7 linked regions of the Danio rerio genome follow. The protein of the gene in region 5 interacts with the protein of the main gene of each other region in a biochemical or structural test. Links are inferred from orthologs where the notes say so. Each region holds a gene or a part of one and is shown on either strand. Other genes may lie near its edges.

The links.
Region 1: of the proteins of lrrk2 (region 5) and sh3gl2a, one has a biochemical effect on the other in vitro, tested with the Homo sapiens proteins (2 studies listed by BioGRID and IntAct). The link is inferred for Danio rerio from reciprocal best matches to the Homo sapiens genes LRRK2 and SH3GL2.
Region 2: the proteins of lrrk2 (region 5) and cdc42ep3 interact on a protein array, tested with the Homo sapiens proteins (2 studies listed by BioGRID and IntAct, with this or other methods). The link is inferred for Danio rerio from reciprocal best matches to the Homo sapiens genes LRRK2 and CDC42EP3.
Region 3: of the proteins of lrrk2 (region 5) and rps15, one has a biochemical effect on the other in vitro, tested with the Homo sapiens proteins (2 studies listed by IntAct). The link is inferred for Danio rerio from reciprocal best matches to the Homo sapiens genes LRRK2 and RPS15.
Region 4: the proteins of lrrk2 (region 5) and echs1 interact on a protein array, tested with the Homo sapiens proteins (2 studies listed by BioGRID and IntAct, with this or other methods). The link is inferred for Danio rerio from reciprocal best matches to the Homo sapiens genes LRRK2 and ECHS1.
Region 6: the proteins of lrrk2 (region 5) and ndufaf7 form a complex in vitro, tested with the Homo sapiens proteins (2 studies listed by BioGRID and IntAct, with this or other methods). The link is inferred for Danio rerio from reciprocal best matches to the Homo sapiens genes LRRK2 and NDUFAF7.
Region 7: the proteins of lrrk2 (region 5) and cuedc1b form a complex in vitro, tested with the Homo sapiens proteins (2 studies listed by BioGRID and IntAct, with this or other methods). The link is inferred for Danio rerio from reciprocal best matches to the Homo sapiens genes LRRK2 and CUEDC1.

What each region holds. Positions count from the first base shown.
Region 1 is NC_133176.1:28,387,946-28,391,445, forward strand, and holds part of sh3gl2a (SH3 domain containing GRB2 like 2a, endophilin A1), read right to left. Parts: intron 3,185-3,500; coding exon 3,051-3,184; intron 1,179-3,050; coding exon 1,020-1,178; intron 172-1,019; coding exon 68-171; intron 1-67. UniProt on the Homo sapiens protein: Implicated in synaptic vesicle endocytosis. May recruit other proteins to membranes with high curvature. Required for BDNF-dependent dendrite outgrowth.
Region 2 is NC_133188.1:45,680,713-45,684,748, reverse strand, and holds the start of cdc42ep3 (cdc42 effector protein 3), read right to left. Parts: upstream 2,801-4,036; 5' UTR 2,721-2,800; intron 1-2,720.
Region 3 is NC_133186.1:6,052,589-6,056,628, reverse strand, and holds the start of rps15 (small ribosomal subunit protein uS19), read right to left. Parts: upstream 2,801-4,040; 5' UTR 2,780-2,800; coding exon 2,777-2,779; intron 2,405-2,776; coding exon 2,319-2,404; intron 1-2,318.
Region 4 is NC_133188.1:27,793,886-27,797,986, reverse strand, and holds the start of echs1 (enoyl-CoA hydratase, mitochondrial), read right to left. Parts: upstream 2,801-4,101; coding exon 2,710-2,800; exon of another isoform or gene 2,017-2,709; intron 1,677-2,016; exon of another isoform or gene 1,557-1,676; coding exon of another isoform or gene 1,544-1,556; coding exon 1,346-1,543; intron 1,265-1,345; coding exon 1,137-1,264; intron 1,054-1,136; coding exon 954-1,053; intron 851-953; coding exon 746-850; intron 660-745; coding exon 540-659; intron 439-539; coding exon 371-438; intron 283-370; coding exon 217-282; 3' UTR 1-216. UniProt on the Homo sapiens protein: Converts unsaturated trans-2-enoyl-CoA species ((2E)-enoyl-CoA) to the corresponding (3S)-3hydroxyacyl-CoA species through addition of a water molecule to the double bond.
Region 5 is NC_133200.1:38,184,587-38,188,204, forward strand, and holds the end of lrrk2 (leucine-rich repeat serine/threonine-protein kinase 2), read right to left. Parts: exon of another isoform or gene 3,204-3,618; intron 1,973-3,203; coding exon 1,851-1,972; 3' UTR 501-1,850; downstream 1-500. UniProt on the Homo sapiens protein: Serine/threonine-protein kinase which phosphorylates a broad range of proteins involved in multiple processes such as neuronal plasticity, innate immunity, autophagy, and vesicle trafficking.
Region 6 is NC_133195.1:3,386,615-3,390,114, reverse strand, and holds part of ndufaf7 (protein arginine methyltransferase NDUFAF7, mitochondrial precursor), read right to left. Parts: intron 3,146-3,500; coding exon 3,002-3,145; intron 1,425-3,001; coding exon 1,251-1,424; intron 20-1,250; coding exon 1-19. UniProt on the Homo sapiens protein: Arginine methyltransferase involved in the assembly or stability of mitochondrial NADH:ubiquinone oxidoreductase complex (complex I).
Region 7 is NC_133190.1:33,835,355-33,839,487, forward strand, and holds the start of cuedc1b (CUE domain-containing protein 1b), read right to left. Parts: upstream 2,801-4,133; 5' UTR 2,562-2,800; intron 1-2,561.

The sequences.
Region 1 (3,500 bases), on a different chromosome or scaffold from region 5:
ATCCCTTTATAAATTGTTTACTAAAGATTAGAACTTTTAACTCTATGGTTTGTTTTAGGATCCAGACCTGTCCTCGATCTTGCTGGACAGCTGCTGAAGAATCTCTGCCGCCTGTCTATGGTAGTTGACTTGAGCTTGGACCAGAGCAGAAAGCTGACTCACTTGCTCAATCTGGTGAAACACAGTTAGAACATTAATAACTGTAACACATGAACACAAATAACGCCTCGATGATCACATATGAAGTTCAAGACTAGCAAACAATGGCTACATTTACATGCACCCTCACAATGTAATTACGACAGTACCATGAAGTACTGCAAGCGAGTTCATGTAAACAATACTGTGGTTATGATGAAGTTCATGTTTGGAGTTATCATAAGTCACAGTAAAATATGTAAAGCACTGCATTTTTCATCTGACTAAACGCTCATGCATGGGTCGAAAACATGCTGGATCAGAAGAAGCCACACTTCTTGGCATCATGCTCTTAGATGTTCAGAAATATACCACCTTGGCATTTCCGATCACCAATAAAACACATGATGCCCATGTTATGTAATGTTATATGCATAATCTCAGATTTCTGAGCTTCCCAGAAGTGTGGCTTCTAGGAAAAGAGGGAGACCGTGTACCCTAGGACTGGCCAACAGGTCCATGTACGCCAGGAGCACTTGGAGCCTATTTTAAAGCAAAAACATCATAACTCTTAACAAATGATCCTAATAATAGCAGGAATCATGTAAACGGCACTGAAAAGGTTTGCCCGTGTCATGTTAACATCTTAATCATTACTTTGAGTATTGGCAGCAATCACACTGCCAACCATGTAAACATAGCCATTGGATGAGATGCAGTGATTAATGGAAAAGGGGTGAAACCTGTGAGATAAGAGGAAAGAAAGACTCACTGGATACAGCATATAACACAAAAAGCACAGATAAAGTACAATCAGAGTCTACAGAAGCATGAAATGGATGGTGAGCAAGGGCAGGCACAGGACAGGTCACAGATCTTACATCGTTCTCCAGAAGATTAAACATGCTTTGTTCGGCAATCTCCTTGGAGTCGTCAAACTTCTCCAGGGCCTGTTTGATCTCATCCTCTGTGACTTTTCCTTGCCTTTTCTTCTTATAGTCAAAGTCCAATCGTCGCCCCTCCAGCTTCTTCAGGTGATGCTGTCATGAAACATGGAAAATGAAAATGTTGCTGTTCAGTTACTGACCTCTAGTGACATTCCGTCACACCAATGTTAATTCTAATGCAGTGCCTCCATTAAAGCGTTAGTTTAACAGAACTCACCCTCATGTTGTTCCAAACGGCCTGAGATATTTATTCATTTTCTGAATACAAATTAAGACACTTCAGGTGTAATCTGAGAGCTCCCTCATCCTTTATAGAAGTGGTCACCAAACTTGTTCCTGGAGGGCCGGTGTCCTGCAGATTTTAGCTCCCATTTTCAAGCTACAAGAATACTTTTGTGCGCACATAAAGAAAATTGACTTTAATCAACTGTTTCTTCTCCTCAGTGATGGTAAAGGTTGCACGATCACATACTGTGCTTGGTCGTGCCACTGATGTATTAACTCAGATGCTTTGTTTCAAAAAGCAGAAGCTGTAGACAGACACTGGGGGATTTGGGTGATATATGTGTACAATAAACAAACATTGATGATAAGGTTGAATAAATGTATTTTTTTTATGTTTATTCTTGTAGCTGAATTTCATTCATCGAAGTTACCTTTCTGGACAATTTAGGGACCTTGCTGTTGACAGAAGATGAGGGAGCTCCACCTAAAATCTCTTCATTTGGATTGACATGAGGGTGAGTAATTAGCATGATTTTTACTTTTGAATGAACAAACTCTTTAAATGGCTGGGACTGTGAACTTTCAAAATTGGGCTAAATAATCATGCCACTAATCTAAGATTCACAAGCAAATTTTAAATGTTTAAGTATAAATTATGCTTGTCCTACAATTCTGAATAGGCAAAGAAATTTGTTTTTATAAAAGTTATTTACTAGAGTCTCTGAATTGTTAATTACTGCAATTAATTAAAAAAAAAATTTAAATTAAAGATTTATTTTTGAATCCGAATGATGATTCATTTATAAAGTTCTTAATTCATTACGGAATAAATTAGACCTTGAACCAATATCATGAAATAATGATTCATGGTTGTTTATGGGGAATACTGTTCTTTTACTTTTACAAGCAGTAACATTGCCAAACTGAACCTCGTTCATGCAGATCCATGAACATGCATGCACACAAAAACTAGCACAAGAGTATACACTAAATGTAATATGGTTGTTTATGACATGCTAGTTTTTTTTGTGAAAAGTACACTTGTGTAGTTTAGCTGAGAGAAGGTACAATATTCAAAAATGTTCACTTTGAGACTCCTTTTCAAAAGTTGAATTACTTCATCTTGAGCTACTATAGAAATTAGAGTGTATATACGGAACAAATAACACAGAAATGATGGTATTATTGTGGTTGAAAGGCTAAAAATATAAAACCCAATACAGCCCTAATTAACCTTGGGATTAAATGGGTCTTTTTGCTGATGTGCATAATGGGATGAAGCACTTTGCTGGGTGTGACGTTCTGTATATTGTTTTCTCCCACACCCAGTCCAACAACTTCACAAAAACAATCCACATTTAAATGTGAAAACTGAAACAGAACATTGGCACTGGAGCTATTTATATGAGTTGTAATGGCAAGTCACTAAATGCCATGATTAATGCTAGGCTGTGACACTAATTGAATTAAAATGCAGCTCAGAACTATTTCAGAGCATTTAAATAGGTCTGGATTATGTGTTTCCAGAACAATATACTTTTTTACAATTTTTTTTTATTTGTATTTTTTCTATTTTGTAATTTCTATTCTACAATGAAATTCCACTATGCAAAAGAAAAGCAACTACAATTTTACCCCCAGAGGTCCCAAAACAAGATTTTTTTTTTAAATAAAAGAGTCTTACAGGATGACTGTATTTAATGACAAAACTATTGCTTTTAAAGAGTTTTCATGTCTCACCTGGATTTCCTTTAAGTCTTTATCATGAATATTCTGCAAGGGATCAATAAAGTTTTGTTTGACCTCCATGTCTAAAGCATCTTTTACTTCACCAAGCTCTCGCATGGCTTCTCCAACATCAATCAGAGCCACCCCTGTGAGACACAAGAGTACAATACATGTTTTACTTTCAGAGGCAAAACTGTTACACACAGATTTCTTAATACAAACATCAGGGTATTCATAAACGTAGGGTTTAAATAGGTAGCTAAAGAGCGTTTTAGGAAAAAGGCTGCAATTGAAATCACCTTGGTGTGTGTGTGTGTATAATATATATATATATATATATATATATATATATATATATATATATATATATATATATATATATATATATATATATATATATAAATATATATAATATTTCTTTTTTTTTACCTTTAATAACAATATAAAAAAGTGCTCTAATCA
Region 2 (4,036 bases), on a different chromosome or scaffold from region 5:
TATATTTGTTTGTAAAATGTAATGTACAGTGTATATTACAACTGTAAAAGTCTAACAGTGTATATAAGAAAATGGCCCACAGTGGCATCTCTTACCACACTAAATGTATACGTATATGGCTATGCTTTGATTCATGCGGTATTTCAGCTTTGCGCATTAGCTTCAACTCCCGTCTTTGTATGGAAACAGCCAATGATGACGCTGCATTTAAAGCACATCTGCATCCTTTGGCTGCTCTTTTTTACAGGTGCAATCTCCCACAGCTATATGTCTAGCTAATCCCAGCCGGTCAAGCTCTCCTCTCTTGGGTGGTTTGGGGGTTTTTCCTTCTCTTTTGGGTGTTTCAGGCCTAAGCTTTCAATCTTTCAAATTCCTCCGACCACAAACGACCCTGTTGGACAATGTTCTAAATGATTAAAGGCAAAAACCGCACTCGGCCCAATTTGAGGTTTCCAGTGTGTTACATAAAGCAACCCCTAATTACACTCTGGGTTTTGTTGCCGCTTTTGGAGGAACCAGGGTGGAGCGAGGTCTCTTTCGCCTCAGCTTCGTGCTTTTTACACCCTGTCATCCACCTCCAAGGCTTCTGTTCTCAAGCTGCTGTTGTCTTTGGCGTGCTGCATGCTATCCAAGTCTGTAGGACGCAGGAATGTATCCGAGGAATTTCAGAAGCTCTGGTCAAGCAGTCGAAGAAGAAGAACCAGGTGTCGGATTGCCTTGCGCTTCTCGGCCCATGTTTTGTGGTGCGAGGGAATTTGCTCAACATTTTCTGCAGCGCCAGATCTCGCATATTGTAATGACAGCCATGTGCAAGCGGTTTCACAAGACTAACTAGCAAATAACAGCCACATGGTAGATGAGTTTGACAATTTCTCAATCTCATGTTATCTGTTGGAGGATTGCACTCGAGAATTACACCGTATGAGTGTATGCATGTCTACACTGTTAACAGTTTACTGTAGGATCTACAGTAACTTACTGGCAGCAATTACAGCTAAAATACTGTATTTACTTGCTGTAGATGCATTTACAGTATATCTTTACTGTAAAATATACACTCATTTTCATAATGCAAGTTTAAAATACAGTAACACACTGCATAACTGTCCTACAGTAAAATACAGTTCATATTACAGTTAAATACTATTTAATTTACAAAAAATATTAACAGTAAACACATATGCTGATATTCATTATGATAATTTTAATGCACAATATTGATATCATGATCACTTCAAAATATCATACATGGTTATTTATTATTATTTAATCTTTTAGAGTGTTTTTAATTAATATTCATAGCAGTGCCAAATAACTAGAGACTTAATTGGTTAATTAGCTTAACAGTTCGAACATGAACATTGTCACATGTAAATCTGGCCTATACATGCTGAAATATTAATTGGAAGTTCTATTCATTGTACATTAACACTGCGCAATAAGTAATAATTAACATTAGTTCATTTAACTGTCACTGACACGTATACGTGATGTTAACCTCTTAGTTAATGCCTAATAACACATTAAATTCAAAGTCGTAATCTCATTACAGGTCATATGTGTTAAATAGTAAAATTCTGTTGTATTTTGTAAATAATATTAACATAGTAACTAACAGGTCTGTCTTTTTCTCAATTTATTTGAATGAAATAGCTAACGTTTACTTTGAGACTTTATTGTAAAGTGTTGCCAATTGTACTGTAGTAATACTGCAACACATTAATTTTATATATTGTTTTCTTAATATCCTATTTAAAATAATGAGTAATAAGACTTCATTGTGAAGTGTTGCCAATTGTACTTTAGTTTTGCAATTTAATTTGCATTGGTTTACTCTGCACCAGTACAGTACTCAGCATATACTGTATGAGTACACCCCATTTTGAAAATGAATTTATTTCACAGTAAATATGGGTAATATATATTGGTTCATTGGAACAAAACTGATTTTTAAACATATATTTAATAAAATAATATTTTATTCACAGAACACTTTTAGAAATGAAAGAAAATACATTAAAATTTTGCAAAAAAAAAAAAAAAACCTACAACATTTCAAGAAAATTGTATATTTTTTTGTTTCTCTTGATTTTTGCTAATTTTGAAAATTTTATTTCGTATTTTTTCTTAACATAAATTTGGCCTACTACTTTTTAAACCATTATTGTAAGTTATTGTGGTAGATAAGCTCCAGATTTGGCTTTAGTACTGACTAATCTAATGTATAGGCACAAAAATAATACTGTAGAGCTTATTTTCTATAAACCTATAGAAAATATTGATTTACATGAGAGATTTGTGGGGGGTGTACTCAGATATGCTGAGCACTGTAAATACAATAATGCAATACATTAAGTTTATATTATTTTGTTATTATTCTATTTATAGTAATGAGTCTTCATTGTAAAGTGTTACCAATTGTACTTTACAATCCTATGCAAATGAATCTGGTTGAAACATATGTTTACTCTAAACATGAAAATGCAATACAAGGTTAAAGTTTTTTGTGCAGCTTAGTTTAATATCATGAGAATATCCAGCCTGGTCTCATGTGGAAATGTACGTATTTTACATTTTGTCAGTTTGGTGGCTAATTGTAATGTCATATACAAGCTTAATTGCAACAAGAAAATCTGATACACACACATAAGCCCATGCATGTCATTTTTAAGCCATTTGTTTCATGCATACAGTATGCCGTGCTAGAAATCCATTTTTACCTGCAAATGAATGGTTCCCTGTTATCCTCACTCTGCAGTTGCCGTCCTGAAGGTGTCTTGACCTAAACTGTTAGTCAGCTTCTGGGTGGTGCAGTGTGTTGCCGTTTTGGTCTCCTCTCTCTCACTCTCTCCCTCTCCTCTCTGTCTCGCTCTTTCTGCCCTTGAGGGTTTGCTTCTCGCAGGCAGGACGTCTGCTGGACAGCTGTTTCAGAATTCTTCCTCTGAAGCGGTGCAGCGTGTCTCTGCTTTGCTTTGCTCCTCCTTTCTCCGCCTGCAGCACCTGTCCCTGCCTGTCTGCGGCGTTGAAATCCAATTCTCTGGTCTTCTGAAACCCCGACCCGCCGGAGCTGCGGCAGTATTTCCTGGAGAGACAGACAGCGCTCAGTCACGGGAGGACGACGAAAACCAAGAGTGTGTGGAATCTCTCCTAGTGTGGAAGAAATACACCATCCCTCCTCTGCCTTTTTTTATCTTCTCGCTCTCCACCTTCTTCCTCACACTCCTCTCTCTCTTTCACACACATTTTTTTTCATTCTATCTCAGTTTTCACACTCTTTTACCACCTCTGATTTGCTTTTGGTCTCACTTTCTGCATTCTGTTTCTGCCGACCTCAGCATCTCTACTTCATTTGTATGCACAGCATTTAAAGTTGCTGAATCTGAGAGGTGAAATGCAACCATGCTAGATAGATGTTCACTGTTTGTTGTAAATAAAATAGTATTTAACTGTAATATGAGCTGAATTTTACTGAAGGACAGTTATGTAACATATTACTGTATTTTCAAGTTGCATTGGGAAAATGACTGTATTTTAAAGTAAAGGCATACAGTATTGTAAATACAAATGCAGCAAGATAAATGTTGCTGTAAATGTAAATAAATATAGTATTTTTGCTGTAATTTCTTTACAGTAAGTTACTGTAGATTCTACAGGACACTGTTAACTGTGTATATATAGATAAATAGATACTTTCAGTACAAGCTGATTCTCATTTCAGTTGCAGTGTAAACCTCTTTGGAGCTTAATAGAGTGTCATTAGCCCCTTTCACACATACAGACCTTTCCGGAAAATTGCCGGCAATTTTCCGGAAAGGTTGTACGTGTGAACAGGTCCTTTTTGAAAATACCGGTAAATTCGTTCTGGCTATTTTCCGGATACAGAAGTTGTAACATTACCGGCAATTTGCCGGAATGCTGCGCTGTGTGAATGCAGAAGGAAGATTCCCGTAATAAGCGCGTGCACGTCTAGAACGTGCTGACGTGAGACGTCTGCTTTAGCCAATCACAACAGTCAGACGCATTTACGTCCGCGCGG
Region 3 (4,040 bases), on a different chromosome or scaffold from region 5:
ATCACCCTGGCTACGTTGTTTCACTTTCTTAATAAAATGAAAACATAAGAAACAGCCTATTTTTATTTTGATATTAGCAACTTAACAGACAGCAGAAATGTTGAGGCGCTGTGTAGCTACATGTTTATATGATGTCATCTTCACTGTATGCATAACAAAACAGAGCCCATGACATTACTGCCTCCTTTTATTGTCATTCACGGTACGAAACATGCCCTCTCTGAAGCTGAATATCAGTGTTTTAATAATCAATAATGGCCATTATAAAAGTATAACGTACAATAAGTTTAAACAATATAGGAAATAAAGGCAAGCAATCAGTCAAATGTGCAGAATCAGTGTACGCGCTTACATAAACAAATATATTAACTTATCTCTGCGCTTGGCTAAAACACATAACCTGAGAACAAGTAATAGATTTAAAAGACCAAAGTCGGGGAATATGTGGTTAGATATAGACAACGAGATAAATTAAATATCACGTTTAACAAATATAGTGAGACTAGATCCAGCGGTAGATCCTTGATGAACAGTCCGACATGCGCTGCTCTCATCTGAGTAGATGACTGCCTGAAGCTCAGACGTACACATACGCTGCATCGCATGCCTGAGTGTGTGTGTGGTCACGTGATGTGCATTTTCAGTGCTGTAGTATGGATGGAGAGCGGTTCAGAAACTAGGTAAACCACTAGTGTGGATGCAGATCATTATCAATCTAAAACACCGTTTTAAAACTAAACGTATTAGTGTAAACGGGACCTGAAGCAGGCTATTAAACTGAATGACATTAACATCGATGGTGTAAAAGAAACCTTATGAAATTGAAAACCGTCACGTTAAGCTTTCACCAAAAGTTTATCATTGGCTGAAAAACACTAGCTGTGCATTTAGCCCATTGTTCCGGTTTCATTTACGACTTTCCAACAATTGACATGAGGATCAGCATATTGCGCATAGTTAAAGCGACAGTGCACCCCAAAAATCTAAATCTTCTGACACTCAAGTTACTCCAAACCTTTAGGGGTTTCTTATACTCCATTTAAAAAGAAAATGTAGATATTTTTAAAAATGTTGGACACTGGTATCCAATGTTCGCCAGTGGCAAAAAGTTTCTAAGGGTGCTTTCACGTCTGTAGTTGGGTTCCTTTGGTCTGGACGCAGGGCAAAAATTGATACACTGTAGCATTTTCTTCTGTTTTTGGGTTATTTGTACACCACACTGATTGCTTTGGTCCGAATCAGTAGAAAAGAACCAAAATTGAGTCATCTGATAAAATCCACATCACTCATTGCCAGATATTATTGAACACATTTCCTAAACTGCTTTTCGATTGGTCAGAATTCACGTGCGGGATAATGCCAATGCCGCAGTTAACAAACTGGTGAACACAACATGTCGCTTTTGACTATATGGAGCTACGACTGCGCTGACTGATTGTATCCCTGCTTATAGTATACTATATAGTTTGAATACATCACTATGGACAGACTATACATTTCGAAAATGAAATGCGGCTGGAAAATGTTTTAATGCATTGCAAACGGCAAAGACGCATCGCACGTCACTTCAGGAGGAGGCGTGAATTAATTTAGCTAAACTGCAACATGGTCATCTTCCGGAAATATTACCAACGATCCATCAGGTAATGGTTTTCCCTCTCTCTCTCTCTCGATAAAGCGCTGTCAACAAATATTTTCCTACACATTCCATGATGCACAGCACATCGGCCTACGGCAGCTGGATTAGTCCAAAAAGGCGCAGTACTTTTTGCGGTTGGGTCAGTTTAAATTCGGATCATAATTCACCACAAACGAGGTCTGTTTGAAAGTGCACCGAGACCACCTCTTTCAGGAGATCTTGGTATGCTTTTGGTGCTTACTACAGTACGATTGCTACACTGACACCTGCCCAAACGAGCCACACCGAGAGGGAAAATGAACTCTAGTGCCATTTAATCGAACTACATGAGGCAGGTGTGAAAACACTCGAACACTCTTTAAAACAAGCTCAAAACTTTGGAATAAATTTGAAGGTGAACAAATTATGAAAGGAATACTTTTCACATTTTGCAGCAGTTAGTTAATCAGCAGGACGATAATTTTACATGTCTAACGTTACATGGCTTGGCAATACCTTAAGATATGATCGCTAAACATCTAGGAATGAAATGTCCCACGATATGACCTATTGCGCATGCGTCGAACAAGTATACTTTGAAATGCATCACATCAGACTATGATAGTTAAAAAAAAAAGTTTACATAAAGCTTTGTCTTTACTAACTGTGTGGAGCGAAAATGTTTTTAATTTTTACTTACTAGGACATGTCCAGCAGCTGGTCCAGGTCCACACCTCTGTAGGTGAATTTCCTGAAGGTACGCTTCTTCTTCTGCTCAGTGTCCGCCTGCGGGAAACACAACCACTGTTAGCCGCTGCTGGGAGACATTACCGCGACTCTCTCCGTGACTTCAATAACAAATAAACGACTAAATACGTTAAAACGCGGTGCTTCATAACGCCACTCAAAAATAACGTATTAAAAATTCCCGTGGATCCATCATGCCGGACTGAGAAATGCAGCGCAAGACTGAAGCTGCTAATCAGACGAACATCTACCTAATCTTTCATCCCAAACACTTAAATAGTGGCCTGGTAACATTCACTAAATCTTAAACACATCTCACTCGTGTTTAATGTTCTGATTCGCATTGTATATACGACAGATTGCTTTGGATTAATGTGATGTAGCTATTCAGAAATAAAGACATGAACCTACCATCTTCAGAGACTACCGGAAAAGGAAGAAAGCAGGAGAGGCGCTGTAATATCGCGAGAGTTCCGTCATTCTTCATGACGACTTTGGAAAGCCGCCATCTTGCGGAGAGGAGGAGGAAGTAAGTTTTTCACGTAAAAACAGAATATAAACAATGTATATAATTGAGCCTGACAATATGCCCAGAAAAGACGTAATAAGTGGATCAAATGTGACCACATGTAGCCTATTTGCTACAGCAATTTTGTCTAAAGTAGACCTAAATGCTGCCCTTTTGAATAATAAAACAAATACCACAGATGATGTTGCAGATGTGTTGCAGCACAAGAATTTTCTTTAAAACGCAATAAAATATATTTTATTTAAAAATGTTTGCATTAAATGAATCGGTCAATAATAGTAGCTTCAGTAAAGTTCCTAGTCTTTGGCTTTGGTGAGTTCAAGGCTTTAAAAATTTCACTGAGCCCAGACGTTTGACCAGCACGCACGCACGCACACATAGATATGTATGTATGTATGTATATATATATATATATATATATATATATATATATATATATATATATATATATATAGATATAGATATAGATAGATAGATAGATAGATAGATAGATAGATAGATAGATAGATAGATAGATAGATAGATAGATAGATAAATATTATAATACATTTGCGAAAATAAATTGATACATCAGGTGGAAATATTAAATATAATTTTAATAAACAGATAAAAGAGAAACATAAATAGTAAAACATTGTTTTGTTTTGTTTTTTGCAATGACCTATTTGAATTTAAATGTAGGCCTATTATCTTTCTATTTCTAAAGTTGTTCGGTGACCAAACATTATAAATGTTGTAATTGTTTAATAAATCTGTTTAGTTCAAATGCACAAAATTCCCCATATACCCATTACCCAACAATGGACAAAAATGCTCATTTTCAAAAGGGGTTGGACTCGTTTATGCATTTATGTATATACAGCCCATTTTGAAAATGCATATTTTTGCCCATTTCTCACTGATTATGTGTAATATATATAGGTGCATTTAAACAAAACGGATTTATTAAACAAGATATAATTTATAAAATAATATTTTCGTCACAGAACATCTTTAGAAATGGAAAGAAAATACACTTAAATTCATGAAAATAATTTGCCCAAAAAAATGATGAGAGAGAGATTATTTCTGGTTTATAAGCTACCAAAAATATATTTATTAAATTCTAAATTATAATTTGTCTTTATGTGATATATATATATATAT
Region 4 (4,101 bases), on a different chromosome or scaffold from region 5:
GACAATGATTAAAAAGTTTATGTATATAGATCATCTGAGCTAAATGTGAACTCGCTGTACTACAGTTAAACAACCCAGTTTCATAAATCTTCATGTTTTTGTTGTCCATAAATGCTTGATGAGAAAATTAAGGCAAATTTGAGTATTTTAACTTCAGCATTTGATCCCAAACTATTCATGGTTTAAAAGTCACCACATTTTTTTTCCACTGGAATTTTACTTGTCCTGGAAAGCAGCCTTTCTCTTCTCAACAAAGGCAGACATGCCCTCCTTTCTGTCCTCCTAAAAATGAGAACACAACAAGTTTAAGTATGAAGTCATTTTTCTTCCTCAAAAAAGGAAATGAATAAATGGAAGAAAAGTGACGCACCGTAGCAAAGGTTGCATGGAACAATCTTTTCTCAAACCGACTGCCCTCAGCTAAAGTCAGTTCAAATGCTGCAGACAAAAGTCATTAAAACTGTCAAAACTTATACATATACATTTTTTGTAGTCAAATTTGGATGCATGAATCTGTTTTAATTAGAAAAGTGCATTACCGGCATTAACAGATTCCTTTGCCATGGCTGAGACCAGTTTGGAATTGCCAGCGATTTTCTCTCCACATTTGATCGCTTCTGGAACCAGCTGATCCACAGGAAATATTTTACTAACCAGGCCTACATAGAAGAATACATTAGTTCATATATTAAAATAAGAAAAGAAGAAAAAGGCTGTAGTGCAAAAGTAAATTTAAAAGACAAACCAGACTGTTTTGCCTCCTGGGCTGAGATTCGGTCTCCAGTGAGAACCATCTCCATCGCAAGGGATTTTCCAACTGCTCTTGTAAGCCTCTGAGTGCCACCAGCACCTGGAACAATACAAAGATGAAATGTTGTGATCTGTAAGTATTGCATTTATATTTCTTTGTCATTTGTAAATCTGAAAAATCATGAAAGGATGCTTTATTGTACCAGGAATGGTCCCAAGCAGGATTTCTGGCTGTCCGAACTGTGCCTTCTCTCCAGCATAGATGATGTCACACATCATAGCAAACTCACATCCTCCGCCAAGCTGGAGAAGACATTATGTTTATGCCTAAATGTAAATTAATGTTAAAAGTCTTTTAGGTGAATGCATTAAAAACATTTACCCACCGCAAACCCATTGACCGCAGCAATAACAGGCTTCTTGACTGTTGATACCCTGTTCCAATGTGCCAAGAAGTTTCCACCATAACACTCTTGGAAGGTTCGATTCTGCATCTCTTTAATGTCAGCACCAGCTATCAAAGCAGATAAAACACACAACAACAGTTTCAAATCAGTTCAATACAACACAACTGCCTTCACCTACAGTTTCACACCTGCAAAGGCTTTTTCACTCCCGGTGACGACGATTGCTCCCACTTCACTGTCCATCTCAAATGCATCGAGCGCTTTGCCCACCTCCAGCATGAGTCCATCACAAAGAGCATTCAGGGCCTTTGGTCTGTTCAGCTGGATGAAGCCAACATTCTTCTTTTCACCCTTTTTGTCCACCAGAATGTACTCATACTGGACACCTGCAAAAGACATGAAGGTAAGGGTCAAAGTAACTCACACTGGCTCCATATGATTTTTAATAAATGATTATAAAAAATACATGATCTCAGCATTGCTGACTCAGCTTTTAATTCTGGAGATATCCCTAATAATCTCATTAAGACAGGGGTCACCAACATGGTGCCCCTGAGGATCACATGAGTTGCCCGTGGGCCTGTTATAAAATTAGCTTACCATAGCACCACATACCAGTAAGCTGCATCTAATACTTTTTGTAGCTATTCTTTTTAAATCACACTTGCATTGATTGATATTTATCTGTTTCCAATCATTGTTGACAACTATTGTGATAAATCATTAACATGATTATTAATAACATATAATTAAAAGTAAATTGAGCAAATTTGTTATTAGGAAGTGTGTATCAAACTGGTAGCCCTTCACATTAAACGATACCCAAGAAGTAGCTCTCAGTTTATAAAATGTTGGTGACCCCTGCATTAAGAGTATACATATATCTCTATAATTTCAAATTTAAGTTTGAAATAAGTGTTTCAAATGAAACAGAAGCATACATGAAGCTACTACAATGCAAAATGCCTTTTTTATTTATGTTGATCAAAGATTATGAGCGTTCTTCAAATTTTAAGTAAACTCTCCATCTATTTGCATTGGTTGTTACAATTTATTATCGCTCCTGAGTGAAAACTGTTCAGAGTCTGACTCTGACACTAATTTTATTTCTTCATATAAAGCTAATTGTTCCTTATAACTCTCAACATTGAGGTACATTTGGTTTCATATTCGCACATTCGTTCAGTGACAGCTCCTTATATGTTGTTTACCACAGTATTTTGAATATTCTGACTAAATTAACATGCAAGTATGACTTCAAAACATTAGCACTATTTGATTGACTGTGAACAGTGGTGTACTTTGATAGTCAGTGGCTGCTTATATTATTTCACAACTTAGAATTGAATACTTTTCTGAAATTATATTATAAAAGAAGAAAGTCTAAATGTGTGAAAGTAAGACCAACTTTACCTCAATAATACTCTCAAACACATTCAGCAGTAACGTAACAAAAAACCAGAGCAGACAAATGACGCAAGTTTCCATTCACAACAAAACTCCAGATCCTGAAAACGAAGCGATAATTTTTATCTACACATGATTAAATTACCTGAACTGGATTGCCTTGTCGCTGCTAAAGCAGAGGGCAGCAGTTTGCTGTGTTTGAGAAGTAACCCTGTTGATCTGCAGAGCAGCGCCATGGTTGTGTACAGGGTCAAGGGTAGCGCTGCTGAAGTCGCGCTGGTTGGCTGTCAACAGTGACGTCGGCATAGTCAGGATGCCAGGTAGTGTAACAAAATCCCTCCTTTCTGACAACCGCTTACAGTTCTAATCAAGCTGCTAGAACGAGGCGAGTAATTATTTAATCGTATTAACTTTGTATTTTCACAACTATCCACACCCAAACCTGCAAAACAGTCACTGCCAATGACATAAATGACCTTTTATGCGTTCATTTTAGCCAATGGTGTATGCAATGGTCTATTAGTATTGTTACTTGTTATTGAATTATAGTTATTATTAAAGCACACACATACTATTTCATATTCTATTTGTTTTTATTAATTAATATTTTCAGATAAATATATATTATTTTATTTTACATTATATTGTAAAGAATTTGCACTATTATAATAATGTGGGGTTCTTTCTGTCAACTGTTATAAAACTATTTTTGGTAAAGGGGATACTATAGATACATTTATTTAAAATACAGCTCTCTTTATACATTAAAATATACATTGCAAGTTTCAGCTTTCTTACTTATAGGTAACTGAAGTTTTTTCACACTATAAAACTATAATCAGTTAATAAATATAAGCGTTATTTTATATCCGAGAAAACAGCAGCTTCCCCGTTCAGTTGTGTCTGTTTATAGCGCACTGATGACCAGATTAAAGATGGCGGCCGCGTTGACGTATCAGAGCAACACCGAAGCAGACCACGAGGCGTCTAGCTATTTATTACATATATATGATTTAGCCTATATTTTGAGACACTAAAGTTGAGACTACATTGCTCTCTGGTGGCCTTAACTGAACTATATATTTTTCAGAGATTACATACATGTTAGATACAGATTATATATGTCTGAAAAATAAGACACACATGCATAAAATAGAATATAAACATACAAAAGTTAATCAAACTAAGAATTAAAGTTGCTATTATTTACTCAAAAGATAATATAATCAAAAGATAGTGTTACAGGGACCCACATACTTAAAATTATTAGTATTATTATTATATTCTACAGTGCTTCACGAAAATTGCGCACTGCACCTTTAAGATAATTGAATAAGGCGGCGTATTGGCGTTGCTGTGGTTACCATATTCAGTGGCGTTCTAAAAAAGAATGTGTTCGAAAAACCGTCGATGACGTTGAGAAACTGGTGTGACCTGCATTAAGTTTCTGGCCATCGCTGACATTGGACGGTATGTAAAGATCTTTCTAAAATGTAATTTAGGTTATTATATTTGGTTGTTTCGATGTGCTTTTGGT
Region 5 (3,618 bases):
AGACAGTTCTCATAATGGGATGAACATGGTCAGCAACAATACTCAGGTAGGCTGTGCTCTTCTGCTGCTGTAGCCCATCCGCCTCAAGGTTGGACGTGTTGTGTGTTCAGAGATGCTCTTCTGCAGAGCTGGGTTGTGACGAGTATGACGATTTGCTATCACAGAACTGCCGCTCACTGGATATTTCCTTCATTCTCTGTAAAGCCTAGAGATGGTTGTGCGTGAAAATCCCAGCAGATTAGCAGTTTCTGAAATACTCAGAGCAGCCCGACTCAGACCAACAACCATGCCACGTTCAAAGTCACTTAAATCCCCTTTCTTCCCCATTCTGATGCTCTGTTTGAACTGCAGCAGATCGTCTCAATCATGTTTACATGCCTAAATGCATTGAGCTGCTGACATGTGAAATTTGCATTAACAAGCCGTTGGACAGGTGTACCTAATAAAGTGGCCATTACATGATCAGGACGTTTGTTACAATGAATGAAAAAAATACTATTATCATACAAAATGGCAGCTTTATTAAAAACATACGTGGCATGCAGCATTCGATTATAAATCATAATAATAATTACATTCCCACAAATCACAAAAATGTAACAGTGAAGGGTCATTTCAGTAACCAAAATAATCATAATCATAGCTTTTAATCTATGGCTTATGCTCCAGTTATAATGTTTGTGCTCAACTTCATGAAGTTAATTAATAATAAAAAAAATAATAATAAAAAAAAGGCTCGCTGCGGACATCATAAATAACATGATTATAATAAATCATAAATTGTGTAGTGTGGTTTATTAGCTTAACGTAAATCGCTCCAGTCTCAGCAATAGATTGTCTCCACAAACCATATAATGTCATCATGTGATATATTACATTGCCTTCATTCACAATCTCACAACCAGCATTAATGCTTTCATTATTAATGTATCATCCATTAATGGGGGAAAGAATGATGACTGCTGTAATGCATTATCACAGATGCATTGTATATGGCCGCCTCCTCTTCACATGGCTTTAAACCAATAATAAATAAATACTACAAAATAATAAGGCTAACATAATCAAGTGCTGTTTTGGTTCCGTCCTCATATGAGCTTCCATACAATCCGAATCACAGCTACATCTGAGATACGAGCTACATTTATGATATATTCACCACAATGAAAATTTCCCTTGGCTATTTAAAGAAGCTGAAATGGATTTCGGGTCCCTTTTCGTGACTAGTAAAGCTGTGGTCGCATTAAAAGCTGCTCGGAGACATTTTAAACACTCTTAAAGGGACAGTTCACCCGAAAATGAAATGTACTCGCTACTCTGTAAACAAAACTACCATACATTCAAGTTGTTCAGACACAAATCGATTAACTTAGTGTGTTGAACATAAAACGCAAGTAAAAAAGCAAGTTTTCCCGAGAATTTCAGTTGTTTCAGCACATTTTTTATGAGTTAGTAATTGTATTAGTCTAGTTACTCTCCCTCAAGTGGTTCCAAACCTGTTAAGAGTTTCTGTTTTCTGTTGAACCCGAAAGGAGATTTTGAAAAATGCTGTAACTATTGACTTCCATAGTATGAAAAACAACATAGAAGATATTTGGAAGAATGCTGAAAACCTGTAACCATTGACTTCTCTTATTCAACTAAAGAAAGTCAGTTTAACAGGTTTGTGACTAATAATTAATGCCGTAGTTTTCATTTTTGAGTGAACCATCCCCTTTTTAAAGCATTTCCACGCTCAGCTACACGCTGGACTTGGGGTTTTTTGTGCACAAATTCACCTGATGCTGTTTAGTTTGACAGGGAGTTGTCGATGGCGGATTTATTCTGATGTTTTTGTGTGGAGATGGTGTTTAATTAAGCAGCGTTTCTCTCATTCTGCGGGTGGTTTTGTCTCGGAGCTCACAGTGTCGCATCAGATCTCGAGCCTCCAGTGGAAGAGAACTGCTCCAGAGCGTCAGCACAGAGTCCTCCGCTGAAAACACACACACAGGTCATCAATGACTTTCCTTGTGCTTTTGACACTACATTCACTATCAGAAGTATTGGCCACCTTGGCATATATGAGCTGAAGAATTCACAGACATTACCTTTCATTGTAATTAAAAATAACGAGGAAAATGTAAAAAAAATAATATTAATAAATATAGCTGCAAGCAGCAATTAAGGGGGCCCCAAGCACTTTTGGCCAAAAAGTGGCGCTGCTTCAGAAGTTTGAGAGTACTTTCAGGGCATGGGGTTGAAGATGTGTACCATGTTTTGTGATGATATGTGAAGTTGTTGTTAAAATATAGCATTTTTGGTCAAAAATCGAAATGGTCGACGCCCAAAATGGCTGACCTGTGAAAATCAGACATCATTCGACTCGACATGCTCTGCCGGATGTAATGAGACCAGTTTTAAGAGTTTCGGACGAAAGGTTGAGAAGTTATAAACCAAAAAAGCAAGTTTGTATCTCCGGACCACTAGGGGGCAGTGCATCAAAACTCCGCATAACCTCAGACCCTAGTTGTCATAACACACACCAAGTTTGGTGTGAATCGGTGCATGCGTTACAGAGATATCGACTCAAGTCCATTTTCGCAAGTTCTACGTTAAATTTGATCGCAAGTTAAACGAAAACGCTTGATCTAATCAACTTGAAATTTTGATTGTAGCCCATTCGGTTCAAAAGTTATGATAAACATACGTGAATGTTTGGACAAGTGGTGGCACTAGAGTTTGATTTTGAGACTTCATATTTGGTCTGATTAATGTTTAGACTGTCCTCTATGATTGTGCCAAATTATACAACTTTCCCGCATACGCCTATATGGGCTGCCATTCAAATCCGGCGAAAGAAACAGAAGATGAAGAATGCTAACGAAAGCAATAGGTGCCTATGCACCTACGGTGCTTGGCCCCTAATAATATAAATTCCCCAAATACAAAGTGGTCAAAACTATTAGCACCCCTAAACATTCTTAAAGGGCTAGTCTGTCATTACTCATAACTTGAGTATAACATTCTGACTTCTATTAATTAAATCAAAGGCATGGTTCACCCAAAAATGACCATTCTGTAAGTGAAGGCATAGTTAATACAGAATAGTTCATTGAAATCTCTTTGAATATATATTCATTCAAAGATACACTGCATCATGTAACGTTGTAACAACTACTTTTTTTTGAAGCTACATTAAAGAAATTGAGAGACCACAAAACAACTTTCAGAGATTCATGTGTATTTAGAAATGTATATGACAGCAGGTATGAATAATTATTGTTACACACTGGGGATATGAAATGATCAGCAGTCAACTCATTAATGATCACTATTAGACAGAAATAAGCATTCGATAAGTGTCTCTCATTGAATCCAGTATTTATAGCAATCCAAAAAAGATACCAACAGTCCTTAAGTGAATCACATGAAAGATCAAGTTCAGCAAACAGTTCATCAATGGCTGGCCACGGAATCAGTAGAAAAGTGGATGGAAAAAGTCTGTGGATATGAGGATGGATTGTCCAGGTCCTGTTTTGATGACTTAAAGTGGATACCAAAAAACCCTCTGCATATAAACAAACATACAATCAAAACCTTACCAACACCACACAAAACATATGTACAAAACCGAAATAT
Region 6 (3,500 bases), on a different chromosome or scaffold from region 5:
CATTACTGCTCAGTAGAACCTAAAGCAGAGAATGACAAAACCAAACCAAACTCTTCAACAACTTTCAAAATATCATTCAATAGCGTCTGCTGTCACTTTTTAACATACACTACATGGATAGTTCTGTACATAAAGATTTAGGTTTACTTATTGCCACATCATTTCATTAAATCTATTTCATTGAGCATCTTCAGAAATACTTGGTTGAATATTATAAGCCTAAAAAAATCCATAAAATCGGCTGTTTGTAAGATTTCCCTCATTCATGTAATAATATTCCTCTTCATATGCTTGTGTAACCCCGCCGGTCCTGCGATACCAACCTGCTCCGAGCTGGTATCGATCCAGCGACCTATCGCATGGGAGTCGGGTGCTCTACCAAGGAGGCTAAAGACCATGGCCTCTAGCGTCTGTCGCTAGAGCACCTTTAGAGGTCAGAGGAGTGAGGTTTACCTGCACACACTAGCTGGAATCCGTTACTCTCACCCCCCTAAACCTCACTCACATTCGGGTCACGGCACCAATGTAACCCTACCGGTCCTACGCCACCCAACCCGCTCCGAGCTGATTTCGAACCGGCGACCTTCCGCATGGGAGTCCGTTGCTCTAACAAGCAAGCTAAAGACCATAGCCTCTAGCATCTGTCGCTAGAGCACCTTTAGAGGTCAGAGGAGTGAGGTTTACCTGCACAGCACACACTAGCTGGCATCCGTTACTCTCACCCCCCCCCAAACCTCACTCCCATCCAGGTCACGGCACCAATGTAACCCCACCGGTCCTACGCCACCCAACCCGCTCCGAGCTGATTTCGAACCAGCGACCTTCCGCATGGAAGTCTGTTGCTCTAACAAGGAAGCTAAAGACCATGGCCTCTAGCATCTGTCGCTAGAGCACCTTTAGAGGTCAGAGGAGTGAGGTTTACCTGCACAGCACACACTAGCTGGCCTCCGTTACACTAGGGCAGAGTAGAATTGCCCATATTGTGTATTGTACCGTGCATTTCTGTAAATCTCTAGTGTATAATGTGCTGTAAAAATGAAGGTGACAAAGGAATAGTCCCCAAAATAGAAATAGTGATACTATTCAGTTTTCAAATCAGATTTTCCCTCATTCTTGAACACAGTAGAAGATATTGGATCACGGAAGGTCATCCATGTGACACCAACTTAAGCCAATTCATAGGATGAAATCAGTTCCTGTCACGTCATCATTTTTTAGAAGTTCAAAGGCAGTAGTGCTGTCATTCTCACCTGCATACGGGAGTCAATGCCCATGTTTTTCAAGAAAGATCTCTGTGTGATGGGTCCCAAGCAGATCACCTGGTCACCTGCCATTTTCCTCAGGTAGCTGAAGTCCACATCTGCGGTCAAATCTGCCAGGCCGGGTGCCTCCAATACATCATGGATTTGATGGCCTTTAAAACCCTGTCACAGGAATGAATTGTAACAACAAAACATGGTGAAAAACACAAAATAAATGATCAGATCTAGCAACTAAAAATAGGCCAATTATTTGCAGAATTAACGCAAACAAAACAGTTTAATCATCCTGACCACACTAATACTAACAGCTGGACACTGATTAATGGCTAAACCCTGCTTAAAATGACACTAGATAACATTTTATATCTGTATTTTGCATGTGAAAACTTAACATGCATTTCCTTCTCTTGTATTCTCTGTGCTCAACTTCTATTTTTATGCAGTAAATTTCCAATCAAGCTGTTCTGTATGGATTTTATTGTAAGGTAATGAAAATGAAATAGTTTGTGACGTCAAATACAGCAAGAGACATTCAAATACATGTAAAACTAGGGCTGCACGACATAGGAAAAAACTGTCATAGCAATATTTTGTATTTTTGCAATATACACTCGCCAGCCTCTTTATGAGGTACACCTGTCTAACTGCTCGTTAATGCACATTTCTAATCAGCCAATCACATGGCAGCAACTCATCTTGCATGGTCAAGATGATCTGCTGCAGATCAAACCGAGCATCGGCGTGGGGAGGAAAGGTGATTTTGAACGTGGCATGGTTGTAAAGTATGAATCATCTCAGACTGGTTTCTTGAACATGACAATGAGTTCGCTGTACTCAAATGGCCTCCACAGTCACCAGATCTCAATCTAAAAGAGCAGCTTTGGGATGTGGTGGAACGGGAGATTGGCATCATGGATGTGCAGCCAAAAAAATCAGCAGCAACCGTGTGATGCTGTCATGTCAATATGGAGCAAAATCTCTGAGGAATATTTCCAGTAGCTTGTTGAATCTACGCCATGAAGGATTAAGGCAGATCCGAGGGCAAACGTGGGACCAACCTGGTACTACTAAGCTGTACCTAATAAAGTGGCCGGTGAGTGTACATTTTGATATGAATATAATTTACTTAAGTACTTAATTTTACATAAGTAACTGAGAAGAATTCACAGTTTTACAATGACTGGGATGATTTTTATTGTAGAGGAGTGCATCTGCATAAAATATCCAAAAATGTATATGAAATAAGTCATTAAATTTAAGCACAGACAAAAACTAAATGTTTTTTTTTTTTTTTTTTTGAAGGGTGGGGGTGTTGTTTGTTGGTGGAATGTTAGAAGGTCGCTGGTTCTAACCTCGGCTCAGTTGGCATTTCTGTGTGGAGTTTGCATGTTCTCCATGCCTTTGCGTGGGTTTCCTCCGGGTGCTCCGGTTTCCCCCACAGTCCAAAGACATGCGGTACAGGTGAATTGGGTAGGCTAAATTGTCCGTAGTGTATGAGTGTGTGTGTGTGAATGTGTGTGTGGATGTTTCCCAGAGATGGAAGGGCATCCACTGCATAAAAACTTGCTGGATAAGTTGGCGGTTCATTCTGCTGTGGCGACCCCAGATTAATAAAGGGACTTAATAAAGGGAATGAATGATTGAGTTGGATAACTCCTAATATAACACATTAGCTTTCAAATGACCAGCACAGGTCCGGATTGAGAACACCTAAGAGGGATTCTACATGCGGTACTTACTCTGAAAGTGTCAGTTTTTGTCCCATCATGCCCATAGTCTACAATTAAGGCTGCGCCTCCGTCCTCTGCGATCCGACTGGCCAGCTTCTGAACGATGACTCCAGCCTCAGCACACACTTCCACGTGCCGTCTGCTTTCATCTTTCTAAAAATCATCATTGACAGAAAAATATTTTCATAATACAACTTAAAACATGGTGTTTCCCAGTGATGGGTTGCGGCTGGAAAGGCATTCGCTGCGTAAAACATATGCTGGATGTTGTTAAGTTTATGCTGGATAAGTTTATATCTCGTTAATGAAGCTCTTACTACAGGGGTGTCAAACTCAATTCCTGGAGGGCCGAAGCCCTGCACAGTTTAGTTCCAACCCTGCTCCAACACACTTACCTGTAGGTTTCAAACAAGCCTGAAGGACTCAATTAGTTTGATCAGGTGTGTTTAATTAGGGTTGGAACTAAACGGTGCAGAGCTGCGGCCCTTTTGGAACTGAGTTTGACACC
Region 7 (4,133 bases), on a different chromosome or scaffold from region 5:
TACGCAGCGGATGCCCCTTCAGCTGCAACCCATCACTGGGAAACATCCATACACAGTCATTCACACACATACTCTACGAACAATTTAGCCTACCCATTTTACCTATACCACATGTTTTTGGACTTGTGGGGGAAACCGGAGTATACAGATTATTTAAATAGGGCAAATGAGTTAATTAACCACCCCTAACCATGTACATATATTTTGCAGCCAGTTTAGGTGTAGTTTTGCCCTCTCCGAGTAAATTGAAAATAAACTCTGTCTTGCGGCTGTGCAAAGCGAAATCAAAAGCCGAATCTCGGACATTTTAGAAGATTTAGACACCCTGAAATGACGCATTATTAAGTCCCCAAAAGGCGAGTCTCTGTGGGTCTCTGCGGAACACTTGAGATTGTGGGACTTTTGACAGTTCTTGTGCACACACAATGAGAAGTAGGAAACATGTAGGTCTAGAGGAGATTTTAAACTAGTTAATCGATCACGGATGTTTGGCTGATGTGCGGACACAAAAAGAGGATGATAATAATAAAAAAATTTCACCAAATATACTTGGGTGGCTGTTATTATATCTGGATGGCCCGCCCACGTGAAGTCTATGTGTGGGAAGCACCGGTTGTCCTAAAGTAATTAATTAAAAATACAGATGCTTAAACACATCCAATAGTGACAAGTTTCTTTTTTCTTTTTTTTTTTAAATAAACAGATTTAGGAATAAATCTCTTCGAATATATGTCTCAAAGCATTACTGTTCTCTGTCGACAAAGTTTCTGATTATTTACATGCTCATGAAAAGATAAAATAAGTCATAAAAATACATATCTTTTTTTAGCCTTTCTGATTTATGACCAAGCCTTCCACTATAATTTGGAGAAAACAAGTACAAAATAACAGAAGATGCAGTTAATTAAAATAATGACAATGTTTATTTAAGCAGTTGGTTGTATTTTTTTTTTTTTTAGAAATAACATATTTAAATGCTTTTATGCAAGATAAAAATCAATAATAGAAATCAATTTCTATTGTATGGAGAAAAATCAATAGTGTATTTACTTCTGGAAGCTGCTGTGCTCTATATAAAGAGAATCATCTGAAGGGGTCAATCTACATCCAGTTCATCACCCCCAGACTCTGAGGTTCTGGAGCAGTACAAGAGACATTCTTAAAAGCTTTCAATAGGATAATGCCATACAAAATAGGAGGTGTTTAAGTGGATACGATCAGTCCATCAAACCCTCCGGCATCTTCAAGAAGGGAAAAAACAGGGTCAGTAGCCATATGCAAATCAAGACTTCACTTAAGGGGAGAGGAGTGGCACCAGCTGTCCGACTGATAGACCTTTACCGCCTCCTCCATCATTAATAACATTTCAACAACCAGGACTACGGCTGCCAGACAGATCTAGACCTTTGAACCCCAAAATGTGCTTCACAAGCTAAACACTGATGTTTTGCGTCTCAAAATATGAAAATGGCATTTCCTTACAAGGTTTGCATGTATGAATGTGCAAAAGTACTTTATGGAAGATATTGTTAAAAAAGCAGCTGTGTGAAAATAATATTGCTTTAACTAGAAACAGGGGTGAGGGGTAGTAGTCCCTTATTATGGTGGGCATATCCCTTATATTTACATCCCAATGTTGACAGGTATTACCTAAAATCAACCAAACTTTGACGTGGTAATTGGACATCAAAATAACATTGTCCTTAGACGCTGGCTAGACATTTAATTTTGGTCACCTGACGTCACAACCTAAATCTAACCAATTATTAACGTCTTATGAGATTGTGTGCTGGCTAGGGAATAACCAAATGCACTACAGAATGTTACGTTTACACACATCCACAAATTATATGTGAATGCATCAGCCTTTTATAGTATAACACTCACTACTCTTGAGTACTTATGAAAGGTTTACTTTTCACTCATAATTTGAGTAATATTCACTTTTACTCTACTTACACTCCATTTTAGGCAAGTAATACTTTAACTTAAGTATCATTTTAGTACTATTTGCTATAGTGTACTCGTGTATAACGCACGTTTACTCAAAAACTACTCGAGCCGATTACGTTCATTTGGTGCACGAGTGGTCATGTTTAATCGATTCAGTAAAACGAACCGACTCAAAATAACGATTCGCTGAAGAATCGGACATAACTGCCGAATTAATACGCGTCAGTAATACCCAAACGTGCAGTCTAGTTAACGTTAGAGAGCGAACTAGCATTTGAAGCACAACCAACCACATTTATGACAGAAGGGCAGCACTTCCCAGATTTAAGATGTGGAATTCCCTGTCTATATTTAAACACAGAAATCTCCTATCACGCATATAAACACGTTCACTTGAAGTGTAAATAAAACTGGAGGCCGCAGCAGTTCACAACACACTGCTCAACAACAGTACTCTAAACAAAGACGTGTAAAGCAACCATAAATCACCCATATAGCGATTTCAGCAACGTATAAACTAAATCCTAATAATGCCACCATTAAATATATTGTGAAACCCTCAGAGTTGTATGTAAATTCAAGCTGGTGTAAAAAACAAAGCTACTTACTCTAGGTGAACAGAAGCAGACTCCACAGCGCACGTTCCCAATCCGTCCCGTTTTCCCCTTTATCCTAAATATAAACACTAGTCGCTCATTTCCTTGGGCTTTAAAAGACTGTATACATCGGCGTACATCATCTCTGTCGACACCGATTGGGACCCAGTCGGCGTGTTCATGCTCAGCGCCTGAAATCCCCACTGAAAGGGAACTAGCAGCCAGTGTGTTGTTGTGTATCAGGATGAATCAAAGAGATGGGAAAAAATCTGTCACAGCCACAATCTCTGTGTGGGTGAACAAAGAGCCACACGGCCGCCTAGCGGACAGAGAGAAAGACTACAGCCGCAGAGGATACACCTGAAATATAGTCAATGCATTTCCAATAAAACATATGAAGTTCACATGTAAAGGCCTCTTAATGTCGTCTGATATCTTCTGCTAGAATGAGTAGTTTAGACGCCTCCTTGTGTAGATTAATTAATTTCACTTTATGCTAAAGAATAGGTTTTATTGTCTTTAACATGAAATATCAACATTAATTTATTCATTCATTTTCTTTACAGCTTAGTCCCTTTATTAATAAGGAGTCGCCACAGCAGAATGAACTGCCAACTTATCCAGCATGTTTTATACAGCGAATGTCCTTCTAGGCACAACCCAACACTGGGAAACACCCACTCTTACAGACACTCTTCTATTCACACTCATACACAACAGCCAATTTAGTTTATTCAATTCACCTGTCTCGCATATCTTTGGAATGTGGGGGAAACCGGAGCACCCGAAGGAAACCCATGCTCACAAGGGGAGAACATGCAAACTCCACACAGAAATGCCAACTGACCCAGCCCCTTGGCTCGATCCAGCGACCTTCTTGCTGTGAAGCAATCGTGCTAACCACTGTGGCACCGAAATATTAACATAAACACACACACACACACACACACACACACACAAAAAAGCTAATTTTGAAAGAAATCTTCTGGATTTAGAGGTTTTTGCATCTGAACTCTTCATTTGAAAAGTTTGGATATATAAAGATTTGTTAATGTTTTTGATTTAGCTTCTTTTTGCACACCAAGGTTGTATTTGATATATAATAATCTTGAAAATGACAACTATATAATAGTAATAATATTTATTGAATTAATTTTTCTTCGGCTAAGTCCCTTTATTCATCAGGGTTCACCACAGCGAAATGAACCACCAACTTATCCAGCGTATGTTTTACACAGAGGATGCCCTTCCAGCCACAACCCAAAACTGGGAAACACCCGTACACTATGGAAATGCCAACTGACCCAGCGGGGACTCGAACCAGTGACATTCTTGCTGTGAGGTGACTGTTAACCACTGAGCCACTGTGCTGCCAGTTATAATAATGTTAAATTATTATACAAATACTATTAGAAAACATAATAATAAAAACATATTGAATGCCTGAGAGAAATTTGACATTGAATCACGAAATTTTCATTTAAAATGTATTCACACACGATGCAAACAATTAAAATTGAAATATTATTTCACAATATTAATGTTGGAATGACATTTTTGATCAAACAAAAGTATTTTAAATGT